Daphnia pulex: one gene and its partner. The protein of the gene in region 1 interacts with the protein of each later gene in a pairwise test. Links are inferred from orthologs where the notes say so. Each region holds a gene or a part of one and is shown on either strand. Other genes may lie near its edges.

The links. The genes of interacting proteins can lie anywhere in the genome.
Region 2: the proteins of T-box-containing protein TBX6L-like (region 1) and homeobox protein bagpipe-like interact in a two-hybrid assay, tested with the Drosophila melanogaster proteins (2 studies listed by BioGRID). The link is inferred for Daphnia pulex from reciprocal best matches to the Drosophila melanogaster genes Doc2 and C15.

What each region holds. Positions count from the first base shown.
Region 1 is NC_060017.1:3,029,794-3,037,344, forward strand, and holds T-box-containing protein TBX6L-like, read left to right. Parts: upstream 1-3,231; 5' UTR 3,232-3,447; coding exon 3,448-3,556; intron 3,557-3,658; coding exon 3,659-3,878; intron 3,879-3,953; coding exon 3,954-4,218; intron 4,219-4,297; coding exon 4,298-4,444; intron 4,445-4,513; coding exon 4,514-4,622; intron 4,623-4,694; coding exon 4,695-5,188; 3' UTR 5,189-5,349; downstream 5,350-7,551. Other genes in the region: hypoxia up-regulated protein 1-like, read right to left, coding at 5,615-5,662, 5,719-5,810, 5,884-6,080, 6,139-6,351, 6,415-6,559, 6,629-6,889, 6,958-7,102, 7,162-7,551.
Region 2 is NC_060024.1:11,049,525-11,057,187, reverse strand, and holds the start of homeobox protein bagpipe-like, read right to left. Parts: upstream 4,272-7,663; 5' UTR 3,931-4,271; coding exon 3,078-3,930; intron 2,203-3,077; coding exon 2,111-2,202; intron 1,884-2,110; coding exon 1,750-1,883; intron 1-1,749.

The DNA.
Region 1 (7,551 bases):
TTATTAAAAAGATGTTAAATAAGGGAGAGAGAGAGAGTCGTCAACGGGGAGGTCTACTGGGCTCTCGACGGAGACCCGATATCTTTCGTACAACAAAGTTTTTGGTTGTGCGGGCCAGATGCAAAACACAGTGAACGTATAGTGCGCCATGTTGAACGGTTTGGAAACATGACACGAGAAAATGATGAGAGGACATCAATATCTACCAAACACAAAAAAGCCTTGCAGCAGCCAGCAGCTCAGAAAAAAACAGGACCACACAAACTCTTTTTCTTTTTCTCGAACGTCTCGACATCAAACCAAACGATCTTTATAGACATGTAAAGTCATAGCTCGTTTTTCTCTCGTGTCTATGCGTATAATAACAATGTGGAGCCAGACTCTCTCTCTCTCTCTCTCGCCATCAGTCCAACCCTCCGCCTTATTGTCGACAACTCCCACAGCAAAATCCTTGTGCAAAGTGGCTCGAAAGTATATCTAGAAACACACACAAAAAAAGAAGGTCTCTCTCTCCTATAGGCTAATTATCGTTATTAAAAGCATGACTGTGATGGGGGAGACCCCTCCCCGCACTTGTTAGTGCCCAGGTAAATTCCGTATACATACTACGTATAATGTCTATGTGTCAGAGAAGATATGGGACTATTCAAACAAGGCTGGAGAAAAACACATAGAGAATTTTTGGTGACCATTTGAGCTGCTGCCCAGCTCTATGTGTGGGCTGTTTTTTATTCCCCACATTATCTTTTGCTCTCTGCGGAGCCAGGCGAACAAATAAACACAACACACAAACAACAAATCCGAATGGCCATTATATTGCGGATTGCTTTATAATTTCTAGGCCCCCAAATCGTCTAATTACCCGCTGGCTGGCTGCTTTGGTGGTCATCCAGAGACGAGTGTTGTAGCGTATAGTAGTAGTAGTAGGACAAAAAGAGATAACCCCGTGTGTGTGTGTGTGTGCTATGTGATGTGTGTTCAACCCCCTTCTCTCTCCATTTATACAAGGCTCATATAAGAAGAAGATGAATAGGACCAACCCCTCTCACAGAAGAAGAAAAAAAGGTTCCCCCCTCATTGGAAATGTGCCGTACTATATAAGAATAATAAGGTGGAAGAACAAATTCCAAAGCCCTCTATCTCTTTTGGGGTTCTTGTGTGTGTGGTTATTTTCCCATTACCTTTCCGTAGTGTTTAACTGGCAAAAATGAAATATACCAGAGGAAAGAGAGAGAGAGAGATGCATATGAATCTTATATATGTGGATGACCCCCCCACCAGCAGCAGCTCTCAGTCCACTGTATGTATAACTGCAGCATCAGCGCACAAGCCCCGCGAGGTTTACAATTTTTTCCTTTTTTCTTATGGAGGGAGCGAGCCAACCGGAATTCCAGACGGGGAAACAATTCCATCGCCCCTTAAAATAAATATATTTTCTTCCAACCTTTTCTTTCTTTTTTGTTTTAAGAAAAAATAAAAGAGAATGGTGCGACTCTCGTCGCGCTAAACGTTCGAAAAATGCCTGTCAAAAGTTGACCCCCTCTCTCTCAGTCGGATTTCTAGTGAAACAAAAAGATCATGCTCGTTATCGCTGTTGACCAGAAACAAACCCCCACAAATCCACCAGCAAGGTTTTGAAAGAAAAAAAAGAAAAAAACCTCCCCTTCATCTTTTCTCTCTCTCTCTCTCTCTCTGATGGTTCCTTTTATTTTTCGCTTGAAATTCCGCGCCGGAGTGATGACCCAGTCGCGCCAACGTTATCACTCACTCACACATATACAGCGGCCGCCGTATATAGTGTACTTCTTTTGTTGTGTTATACGACAGCAGTCGAGCCATTTTTTCTTACAACTCTGATATCATTTCAAAGATGATTGGTATATATGTACGCATATAAAAACCTTAAGAAGAAAAAAGGAAAATGTTTCTGTACACATCGTCCATATAATTTTGGAGAGGGGGACTCTTGTCTGTATACGGTTCCGTGTCATTATTTGATGATTGCCGCCCACAGGCAAATGATTCCATCCATTCCGTTGTGTCGTCAACCCCCCACATTGGTTATGTCGCCGTTGTGTCGAGGGGCTGGAAACAAGACACGCCTGTAGGCTCAACCGCGGTCCGTCATCGTCGATTGTCGCGTGAAAGCGGTGGGATGGATGATGATTTCGGGGTTCCGTCTCTTTCTCTCTCTTATCATTTCGAGATTGTGTCTCTTTTTTTCTGGCTATATCATCTTGTTTTTTTTTTTGTTTTCAATTGAAAAACCCTGGCCAATTTTGCGGTAAACCTTGAAGCGTGACTGAGTGGATTATCTCTCATTTTCAACAAGGTAGGAGAAGAAGAAGAAGCTATATATAAGAAGATACAAGCTGGTGGACATGGCGCCAGCCGATCGGTTCCCATCGGACTTTTATTTTTTGTTTCTCTTCTTCTTTTTTTTCAAAAAGAAAAGGAACAACTCGCATGTTCTCGTTTCACTTTAAAGAAATAAAACCCTCGCCATTTACCAGGCAATTGACACTCGATATGCGAATCGAACAACAAAACAAAAACACAAACAAACTATGGGTTAATGAAAGCAAATGGATAGGTGGATGCGGTTTATCGCGCGCATCTAAAGCAAAAGCGGGCTGAGGCTGGCGGCGGCACTCGGATACACATGCCAGACGTATCCATGGCTGGATCAGCAGTTTGGCTGTGCATATAAAGAAAATGGGGTAAATAAGTGGGTGGACAAAAGAGGCCTGCGACATTGAAAGTACTACACATCCCATACATGTCTATAGTATTTTTTATTTTCAAAAATGGCACACGGAAAGAAAGATGGATAGTAGCAATCTCTCTCTCTCTATGTGGAAAGGCAGCAGCAGATGGTGATAATTAGATAAAAGATAAAAGATTGAAAGAAAAGAATTGAACGCAGAGACGACGACCGAATGAAGGAGGAGGAGGAGGGATCAAGGCATCAAGACTTGAATGGCCGAGAGATAATAAAAAGCGGATTGGGGGGTTCGGAAAATGGATGGAATGAATAAGAAAAGAGAAGAGGAAGGCCCGAAATTGGGGAGGCGACCAATGGCGAACCAGGGTCTCTCTCTCTCTTTGGCAGCCCACCCAAGGGCTATGGCCAGCACACAATTCCGGAGCCAGCGCGACGATCCGTCTCCACTCGTACGGACTTGCGAAAAAGCAACTGGGAAATAAAACATGATATCTATCGGGTCGTCTTCACTCTTCAGCATCAGTCGTTCAAGTATCTCAGTCCAGTGCGGTCGCGTTGTGTGTGCGTCTTCACTATTTGAAAAATAAGAATAACAACTTTTTGCTGGCCCATTATCAGTGTGTCCACTCCAAGACACTTAACAGAGTGTTGTGTGCTTGTGTTTTTGTGTGTGCACAGTTGATTGTGAGTTTAGAACCCAACAAGTACAAAGCCATTAAATCATGGATGCGGCTAAATTGGCATCGTCGGCCGTGAGTCGAGAAGATGAGCTTCAGCAATTGGCAATCCATGCGGCCGGAAATCGATTCCCAAATGAACGGAGACCTTACGGTATGTTTTCGTTTTGCATTTGGGTAGTGAAGAAGAAGAAATTGTTGGTGGGTTCGTTCGTTCAACTCTCCGTTTTTCTCTTTCTCCCTTTCGAAACAATAGAATTGCCACCGATTGGTAGCGCTGGATCACCGTATCAACTTCCTCCGTCGGCGGCAGCTCATCACAGTGCGTCGGCAGCTGCGATGATGGCCCATCGCCATTTGGCAGCCGCCGCTTCCGTCAAATCCGATCCCAACATCAAAATTGAATTGGAAAACGCCGAATTGTGGCAACAATTCCATCAGATCGGCACGGAAATGATCATCACAAAGTTGGGAAGGTGCGTGAATCAATCCATCAATCGGGCGAATTTGTTTCTCTAATCCAACTTTTGATTTCCTTTGAAAATAATCAGACGGATGTTTCCGACTTTGAAAGTCAACTTGAGCGGATTGGATCCCAACACGAAATACTTTGTCCTGTTGGATTTAGTCCTGGCTGATGATTCTCGATTCCGTTTCAACGCCGGATGGCTTCGTTCCGGCAAGGCAGAACCACAATGGCCGTCGAGGATTTACACCCACCCGGACAGTCCTGCCACCGGAGCTCAGTGGATGAAACACGAAATCTCATTCCAAAAAGTCAAATTGACCAACAACACCATGGATCAGCAAGGCCACGTAAGTTAATTGATCATTTCGTCACACATTAATTGCGACTCGGGTATTAACGGACAATTTTAATTTTTAACCTATACAGTTGGTTCTCACCTCGATGCACAAGTACGTTCCACGAATCCACGTCATCGCAGCTTCCGATTACGCAAGCCTCCATTGGGGAATGCCTACGACCATCAACACCGCGGCTTTCAACGTCTGCAGTTTCATCGCCGTCACCGCCTACGCTGTAAGTTCTAAATGTCGGAAAAATTCAATTACGAACGTATCAATAACGATTATTCTATTGGATTTCTAGAACGATCGAATGACGCAACTGAAAATCGATAATAACCCGTTCGCCAAGGGATTCCGTGAAAACGGCCAGCTTCGAGTGAAAAAGCGACAATTGAGAGACAGTTCACCTGGTAAGTCATTGATTCACCTGCTCGATTTCAAACGGAACCCGTTGTATTAAACTCGTGTCTTGATTCGTTTAGAAAACCGTAAAAAATCTCGACCGAGCAGCGCTTCAAGCTCTCATTCATCACTCAACATCACCGACGACGAATGCAATCCACCAACAGCGCCCGGAGTCCTCCAGGATCCTGTCACTCCGCCACCTTCGTTGACAGTTTCGTCGTCATCGCCCATCAAAGGTTCACCCACCAACTTTTCAATCGCTCGCCTAGTGGGAGAAACAACCAGCCCGGCACCCATCATTTTCCGACCTGAAATGCAACATCATCAGCCGTCATCCTTTCACCATCTTCATCCAGCCATCCATCCGTGGATGGCAAATCAGCATCACCACCATCTCAGTCCTTATTCTTCTGTGTTTGCTCCGAGGCTGACCGGATGGCCTCACCACTTGCCTTTGATTCCTATGATGCACTTTTCTTCCATGTTCCAGAATGGCCCTCATCACTTGATGATGGGAAGCCCTGGCTCGACCTCACTCACTGGAAATCCTAATGCGAACAAACTGTTTTAAAAATTCTCGCCTTATTTTCTTCGTTGTCCCTTTTTTATTTTCTTTCGTGTATTCCCTCTAGTCAAAAGGGGTATGCCGCATCACGTGCCTTCGCTCCGCACTCCCTGTTGATATAATTGTATTATTTTCACGTTGAATAATCAAACAAACACAAAACAAAAGTGTCGCAAATATCCCATATTCTATTAGCACAATGAAAAAGTGATTTTTTTTTCATTTCTCACTCTTTTAAAATTAATTGATTATTACACACACAAAATAAAAAAAAAATAAATACAAATCCAGCAAATTGAATTCATTTATTCATTAAGTAAGTCGAAACGGCTTCGGTGGAAACAAAAAAAAAAATTATTAATTTATTTATTTCGATGTAACGGGAGAATCGAATAAAACGTCGCCTACTTCTCATTTAGAGCACAGCAGCATCTATTTCTTATCGCCTTCAATCATTGCAATAACCTTGGCTCGAATACCCTATAAAATCGATAAGATAAATAAGAATTGTAAGCTCAATCGTTTGGTTTTCTAACCTCGGCAATTTTCGCAAAAGCTGGCTGAATTGTCATTAATTGCGACGGCAATGGACTTGAAGTTTCCGAACAACTCTTGGAAGCTGCAGCTTCTAAATATAAACAGATTCAATTAAAAATACGAACGCACTTTCATTGTCTGCCACTTATTATTTATTTTTTTACCTGCTGCGAGTTTACGAACAGCCGAAGTGATGGGTGATACGCGTGATTCACGTGAAGGTGATCGACTCTTGTTCCGTGGACTTTTACTTCGACTCCGACTAAATCTGTCGCTTCCCGATCGACTTCGAGATCGATGGCGACGTTTACTTTTACGTAATCGATCACGACTACGGCGTTTCCTCTTTTCCTTTCGATGCCTGTAGATAACGAGAATAAAAATCGACACAAATGAAAGACAAAATTCTTGTCAAATACCTGTCGCGACTGCGGTGTTTTTTGTGTGGACGTCGTGGTGATGGGCTTCTGTGGATGGGTCTGTTACGACTACGACTTCTACTTCGTCTGGTTCGACTCACGCTGCGGTATCTAGTTCTGCTGGACTGTGGGCTGCGACTTCGACTACGGCGACGGATCGCTCGCCGTCGTCTTTCAGATGGAGAACGAGACATGGAACGGGTGGTGGATAAACTAGGGAAATTCCAGTTAGTTTATGCAAAATAACATAGAAACGAATAAATCAGGATAACTAACCTTCGTGATCTTTCTCTCGTTTCTCCAGAAATAGCACCAATAATTTCTACATCTGCATCGTCAGGGCTGCCAGATTTGCTTTTCTTTGTTGAACTGCTTGTAGATGCAATCTCTGCCGTTTCCGTCTCTTCTATTGCCTCTTTCCCTTTGGGAAATTAAGAAAACAACACACGCTATAGTTTCTGTAGCAGTTCACACTCAAGTCGAACAATACCAGCAACTTTATCCCTTCTCATTTGGTCAAGAAATAACGCCGCCTTTTTCCGACGTTCCGTCTTCATCAGCTCGGGATCAACAACCAAACGTTCTGCAGGGCTTTCTTCTCTGGTCTCCCTTTTGCTTTCCACGGAATGATTCGAGGATTCTGACTGCTTGGCTTGTAGCTCTTGCTGCATATCGGTGTAGAGTGATAGTTTCTCCTTGTAATAGCTGTGAAATGAATGTTCGGTACTGAGGAAACTAAAACGAGGGTCGCCTTCACGACAAACAAAAAACCAATCAAGACAAATGAAATTTAAATAATAATACAAATAGAAGGTATACCTTTGCTTTGAACAACCGATTCCAAATGGCGTCCAATCCGCGACATGTAACTTGCAGTTTTATCAATTAGTAAACGAACTTCTGGAGACAGCTGTAAAGACTGCGCATCATCATTTGATTCTACTGTCGGTGAAACGACCGGATCCTGCAAAGTTGGAAATATGATTATCCAAGTTCAACAAGTTTAAATCGCGTCGTTCTAACCGAAATTTTGGATTGTAAAAGAGGGTGCAAATAATTATCGCCTTCGCTGTCGGATTCATTCACATGTCCGTTGCTCTTTGCGGATTCTCCTCTGTCGTCATTTTCGACTGGATCTTCTGTCGGAACGACATAGTTTCCGTTACGTATGGCTGCGAGTACGTGACGGTAAAATGGGTGCAAGGCAGTGTCAAAATGTAGAAACTGAAACATGGGGTTGTTAGCTTGTTTGGCCTTGACAATGATTTCCATTTGAGTCCCTTGAGAAGAAATAAAGTTTGCCGTTTTCTCGATAATCCTCGCTAACTTTTGAGTCGGTGGCACTATGATGTCTGGTGGTACGTCAAGTATAGGAGGAGGTACGTAAACTGCGTCTCCCAATTCACCAAGTGC
Region 2 (7,663 bases), on another chromosome or scaffold:
CCGCAACATGCTCTTTCGATTAAGGACCTTTTTTTTAACTAAAACAAACTGAAATTGAGACCGTTCGTACTGGTATTGTATACCCACACAGAAAAAAATAAAACAAGTTTGTGGATAGATTTTGAGCCACAAATCAAAATGAAATTTCAGATGGTTGAAATTTACATAGGCGACAGTAGCGCAACGACTCTAATAGGAAGACGCATGACATATGGACTTATTCGATTGATGGATCGTGTAGATTAGACTCCCATTTAATACCTCGCCGGACAAGTCATGGCGCATTAGCTAGACTTGTGTGCTATGACGTAACATCAAGAAACCCCACTGTTCAAAATATCAAAGGGGGAAAAACGCCCAAGGACACATCAGCAATAATCAATAAATAACCAGTCGTGAATCAATCGGAATTTCTTTCGTGATAGTATTATAATATCCCCTCTCACACACGACCCATGTTTTCTGCGATTGTTTTGCGGCTCTGTTGATGGAATAAATGATTCGCATTCAGAAACAAAAAACCTGTTCTCTTCTTCCCTTTTTTAATATTACATCGCCACCATTTTTAAAGCGACTAGCCAATATCAAATCTAATGGCGCAACGACAAATAAAAGTCCTTTTTTTAAAAAAAGTCGCCATTCAAATTGGGAAAATAAAGTGATGATGATTTACGCATTTTAGATTATCATCTTTACATTACAATCTCAAACGGAAAAAAAAGTATTTCTTTTCTTTTTCTTTTTAAACCATTTTAGTTTTAGCTGGAAGAACCTGCTCTGGGAGGTGGCGCCCACCATCCTGGGTGGGTTTTTTTTTTGCGGCCGGCGCCAACGACTAGCGACAGACAAATGGGCCCACTCAAACAATTTGAAAAATAAAAAAGACACACACGAGAGAGAAGAAGAGGGGAAAGAAGACTACAGTACACACGACGGGCGGCAGCCAAAGAAGAAGAAGAAATAAAAACGTCTGGATGAACTTGGCGCCCTTTAGCAAACGATCTTCGTCGTTCCCGTAATCAGCCGTGAACAATTAAGACAATCCCGCGTCGACAGATAATAATGCGACTCTCGATCAGCTCGCAAAGTAGAGAGATAGAACCAGCACACGGCAAACCAGCCGAGAGAATATAACATATATACAACCAAAAGAAGAAGAAACTTTGTTTCGACGACGACGACGACGCCATGCACGTAGATATACACACACTGTTGTATATATTGCCTTGGGCTTCCCCCCCGTCCTCCTCGTTCGTTATCTGATTGGCACGTCGGCGGTGAATAATGTAGACGGCCATTTTGAATGACAATCAGGCACTTGGTGAAATACAAATGCAATAGCTGCAGCTGAAAGTGCTCGTGTAAAGCTGATGTTTTTTTTAAATGGCGCGCCAGCCATTTTCAGCGGGACAGCAGGAGGGGGGGAATGTTGCCGATAGGAAATAAAACAAAACAAACTCTCTTCCCATCCAAAATACGTTTGAAAACAACAGAGCGCACTATTGTGCTGTGTGTGTCTGACTTTAAATAGGTTTTTATACACATTATTGAAACTACAAAGCAGCAGCAGGAGCCGGGAGTTTTTGTATGTATAGCTTTAGGGGAGTGTCAATCAATCGTCTATTGATAATGAAGTTGCTCCTCCTTTTTGGCCCCCCTCTCTTTTTATTTTAAATTTTAAATTGAATAACCCGCGCGTTCAGGAATTTCGGTCGGTTTAGTTTTGGTAATATTATTATCATCACTGACCTCCATTTGGTGCGGCGATTTTGGAACCAGGTTTTCACCTGGGCGTCGGTCATCTTGAGCAGTTTGGCCAGGGCGGCGCGTTCAGCAGACGCCAGGTATTTCTGCTTGTGGAATCGCTTCTCCAACTCGCACACCTTTTTTTGGGTCGTAGCGTAAAAATAAATCAATGAATTATACAACTTGGTTTCAAGGAGACAATCAAGACTCTTTAATAAAATAATAAGTTGACGTCAGTCGACTATAGCCATTCACCCCGACGGCGAATGTAATGGGTGTTCTAGCGAATCGTTTCGGTGCTGCCGTGTCCACCGAAAGTAATTAATCAATGATTGATCGCGAAAAGCAAATCGACTATGCTCACCTGTAAACGAGTGAATGAAGTGCGAGGTTTTTTCCTCTTGGGCGGCGTTCGCTGCTGGTACGGATGGCCGATGCGTCTGGCCAACGGAAATCCTGAAAAAAACATTTCCAAAAATGTCATTTTACATCGACGTTACAATTATGTAAAAGAGTTGAAATAAAAAACTTGAACTAAAAAAAGAGGTGTCAAATAAAATGTGGGACCGGCGGCCCAGCAGAAGCGCCAATAAGTTCAAAGTGCTTTGGCCATTACTATTTCATATAATATCTCTCAGACTAGCTGTGACTCTGTGACTCTCTCTCGAGATGCTGGCGTATATGGATTCTCTTTTTAATATTCAACATATGCATAAAGAGCAATCCACTTGCGTCGCTGGGGCGTCACGTTGAATGTCCGGATCATTCGTCATGGGCACAGCACAACCCCCCCCCAAGCGAGTCAAGAGATATGTGTTATATACATTTCAAAATGATTATTCTTTTTTTTCGATTCCAGCAGCAGCAGCAGCAGCCCCAAACGGCCATTGATACAATAGCTAGACAGCTACTGTATATACATGTCAAAGAGCTCGCCGTCTGTGTGTGTCTATAATACACATACGTCTATACAGCCAGCAGCAGAGAGTCCACGTCGTAATAAACGCATCAAAGATTCCAGGGGAATAAAAAATAAAGGTGATACAAAATTTGTGAGACTCTGTTTCTCTTTTTCAAATGGAAGGGGGCCTGGGCCTTTATGACGATATCATGAATAATTTAGCGTCGACTTTTATTTGATAGGTCTCTCATACTATCCTCTGCTGCTGTGTGTGTGTCTATAGTGTCGTCGGCGGTTGAGCGACAATTTTCGCTCGATTTATCATCCGTGTCGTGCGAAATGAAAGTTTCATTTTAGAAAATTCAAATCACGCGCGCTTTTTTTTTAAAAGAATAAACAACCCAACATTCCCCGCTATGATGATTATTACCTGCGGCTAATCGATCCTTGAAGACGGTGGCTTCCAGTAGAGCGGCAAAGGCGTTGGGAATTCCGGCCGGATTGAGTCCGCCACTCATGTGGTGGTGGTGATGGAGACTGGCCGGCGACAGCGGCGAGTGTTGAGATGACGAAGATAATCCGTGCGGAGGAGGTGGCGGGCCGCCGGGGTAACCGCCGGAAGACGCCCCACCGCCGGAACCGGCGTTCGTACCCGTCGATCCGGGTGTCGACGGATAGCTGAGGTAAGTGCCGGCGCTCATGTTCAACATGCCGCCGGAAGGCCCTCCGCGTTGGCTGTTGGCAAAGGCGCCGGAATTGTGGTGGTGCTGCATCAAATGCGACGGAATCATGCCGTGGTGTTGTTGGTGTTGCTGTTGTTGCAGGGCGTAGAGGGCGTACCAGTCGATGCCCATCGACGGATGCGGCGGATGACTAGAATAGTCAGGCATTTTCGAATCGTCCGGTCGAGATCCGGCCGATTCCTCGTCGCCGGAATCGTTGACTTTGACGTCCTCATCGTCGTCCACGTCACTCATGTCCTCGCCCATCTCGTCGTCCACTTCCAGCGGCGATTCCGGCGGACTTTCTCGGCTGAGCAACAATTCAGCCGCAGCCGCTGCTGTCACTTTCGGGTTGCTGTTGGACTTGACCGTAGCCGACGGTTTAATCTCCAGCGGATGAGCCGAGGCGGAATTGTCATTGGCCGTAGCTTTTTCCAAGAGTCTAGAAATGCTAAAACTCAATCCACTTCCGGCACTGCTGGTCGTGTTGTTGGTACGGGGTGAGGCCGAGACTGCCATCTTGTTAACAGGACAGGTCATCACCTGACTGTCCAGTGTCATTACGCAAAATTACGCCGGAATTCACTTGTGGTGTGGCACACTGGATCCCGCACGAATATGTTTCACTTTTTTAAGACAACGGAGGGATTGACTGATTTATTCAATTCAATTCCGGCCGGAATAAAATATTTCAAAATTCTATAAATGAACGAAAAACAAATGAACAAACAAAACCAACGAAACTGATTGACGGCGATGTGACTGATTGACTTGGTGCGTGAATGACGGGGGGGGGGGAACGGTGAAACGGCGACGACTTTTGTGACTTGCAGTTAGTCAGCGACTGAGTGCCGGATCGCTGTGTAATCTGCCTCTCATGTCAAGTGACTTGAACGCTCTTCGGGACCCGTTTTCTCCCTCCCCTCCCCTTTCATCCCCACACACAAAGTCACGTGAGGTGGTGGGAGGAGCTTGCGGGCTGGCACCACCGCTCGCCATTGGTCCGCCTATTCAACTGCCATTGGTTCTTTTTGGAAAAAGAAATAGAAGAAAAGAAGGGCAAAGCCCAAAAGTGAGGGTGGGGGATGCGGATTGAATTTTCTTTTTATTTCTTCCGCTTTTTTTCCTTCGTCTATATGCCGAGCGAGTCCATTATATTCCGTTTTATCTTCTTCTTTTCTCTCCCTACCATTTTCCGTTTTGTAATTTTTCTGTCTTTTTCCAGGTTCGTTGTTTTTGAAATATAATGTAAGGCGCGCGGTTTTCACGCTAATACACGCAAAGGTAATACACGCTGGCTATACACTGCAGTGCACATACTACATTACCGCCGCCCGGATGACTTAATTGGATTGTTTTGCCTCCGGTTTTTCTACTTTTCCCCGTTCCGCTTAACAAGCTGGAGGAGCCTCTAATCGACTTGATATTGTGTGTGTCTAACTATTAACAAACTGACTGACTGGGCTATGGAAGGAAAAATTTGGTTTGTTTTTCTTCTTGGCCGCTTCCGACTCTACTCGGAAGAGTCATTCCGGCGTAAGGGAAAAATTATTTTTCTTGTTTGTTTCAAAATGAGGAAGAAGATATTTAAGATGTGTGTGGCGACTAAATAACAATCAAGAAATGAAAGTCTGTACTATATAGGCCTGCTGGCCGCCATCCGGAAACACATATTCCCACCGTTTTTCTGGCTGCCTGGATCTCGTCGTAATAATAATACGGAATAAGAAATAGAAATGAATACAATGACTGAATTATTAGACGCTCGATCGATTGCTGGAGCTCTCTCTTTCGGGCGGATGCTGCTTGGGAGGATGAAAGAAAAGACGGACATAAACATGTCGAGAAACCAAGGGTCACCGAGGGAATTTCATCCCAGCTCGGCCGGCTGCTCTGCTACTGCTGCGGGAGTTTTCAATTGAGCAGAGTGGCTCTCGTCTCTTTAAGACTCTCTTGACTATTGGACGCTCTCTTGTCTGATGGCAGCAGCTTTTCTTTTTCAAATAATAAAACACACACAAAAAATAAAAGAACGGCGGAAACATTAAGGATTAACATGATTGCACCTTGATTCCGTGCTAGTACTTGTTTAGGCCTATGTAGATATGGCAGAGCCAAAGAAAGAAAGAAATTGGATTAATAAATAATTTCGTGCCGGCTATAAATGGATGCGGTGCGCAATTGTTTGTCAAATATGTCATGGGTGGTATATATGTATAGTGCGCATATATAAAGTGGGGGTACTATAATTTAAGCGTATAATGTATTATTATTAGAGACGGCCGGGCATATCATCATCAGCACTGGTGATATTATTGTTCTAATAAGTTTTAAGAGAGTTGACGTCGGGTCGCAACGATTGACACGCAATGCGGGAAGTGTATAACCCCGCTCTCTTTGCTATAGCCTGGCCTGGAACAAACGCCCAGCACACAGCTCTTGTGTACACATTTATTCTCGTGCGCTGCCCGGCTCAACTGGGCACATCGTCATAAAGCAATTAAACGCCGGCGCTATACTTGATGTCAGCCGGCGTCGTCTCCATATAGTTTTTGTCGGGGGCTAATAATTTTCCCCATTGAAATAATACATTCCCCCATTTCTTTGAATTGATAAAAAGTTAAAAATTTTTACAATTGATATCCTCCCTTATTTGCTCTTATAATTAATTGCTTATGGCGCTATTATTTAAAATTTAGCTAATTTGGAAATCAATGAACGATCGATCAATAAAAAAACATTATCTTTTTCTTTTGCTGAAGGCGAGACAGGATTCTGGGAAGGACAACAAAACTAGTCATTTGTTTATTCGTGAGTGTTTGGAAAAGAAAAAAAAAATTCGAATTGAAATTTGTTGAGGGGGAAGAAGAAAAATAAAAAAACGAGCCGGTATACAAGCAGAGTAGAGCGTGGTGATCAATTCTTTTCGATGAACGTGACAAGACTGGTCTCATTTTTCCAGTCGAGTCCATTTGTTTGTTCTGGCTTTTTGGATGTACACCAAATATATATAAGCTCATCACAGTCGATCAGAATTGAACAGTTATATAGAGTTTTGTCGATTGAAACCCAAACGAATCTGGTCAAACATGATGCATCCCCCCCCCATTAGACGTGTGCTGAGCTCTCTCTCTATTATACTATTTCCCTTTTTCAAGTACGCTATAATACACTTAGCCGCTGTAATATAATATGACAATTTGGCGAGGTATCATCAACTTCGTTTTCAAAACTCCTGCCTATACTGCCTGATGCTCTCTTAGTCAGATTTTATTACAGCCGTGATTATATACATGCACAGTTGCAACTCGAAAAAGTTAAGAAACTATTAGACATGTGTGTGTATATACCCCGTTATAATATCAGCGCTTCTATGTGTGTACATATAATAAACCTCCAGCCCGCCAGAAAACTAGAGATATACATATACACAATATGTATATATAATATCTCTATAACGTTAAGTATAACTGCACGCGGGACTAAAGTATATTATATGCATGCTGTTACGACTTGATTATGCCCCCCTCCCAACCCAACCGACGTTCCAGCTTAATCGAGTTATAAAAGCAAAGGCTATGATGATGATGATGATGTTTGACGGTGGCCAAAACTTTTGCACAATTTCCACAGTGTGCCGGGGCCCGTTTTGATTCGTCCTTTTTGTCTAGCTCTACTGCTGCTGCTGCTGCTGCTGCTGGGCAGCACTTGGGCTCTTTTTATGGCTCGTCGTCGTGTACGCCGTTATATAAACGCACACAAAGTCATCGGGTCTGCGCTTGGGGGGGGTCCTTCCACTGCTGCAATAACAAACCGAACGCAGCACAGCCAAAAAGGGCTTTTGGGCTTCATAGGACATAACGTCATCGGCTCATTTGAATAAATCACGGGGGGGGGGGGAGGCAGGACAGACACGTACTATATAGGTAGCCTACGTACACGTATTACATATTACGCGTTTTCTCCGACAGTATACCTACACATACAATTCATATGTATAAGAACTGTGCCGTTTCTTTCTCCATTTGGACGATCGCGTGAGTGTAATATTATTATACAGCCACATCACAAGACTTTGAGGCTATTCGAAACTGACCGGGCGGGACACGCGCATTCAAACCAGAAAAAAAAAAAAATACAAAAATGTTATATTATCGCATATTGCACCGACCTGTGAACGAGAAAAAATAGAGAGGAGATGTTAGATGTTTTATAATGACTGCGGACACTATATACACACGTACGAGAATCAGGCAGCAAAAGAAAAATTATTGGGGGTCACAAAAGAGTTGGG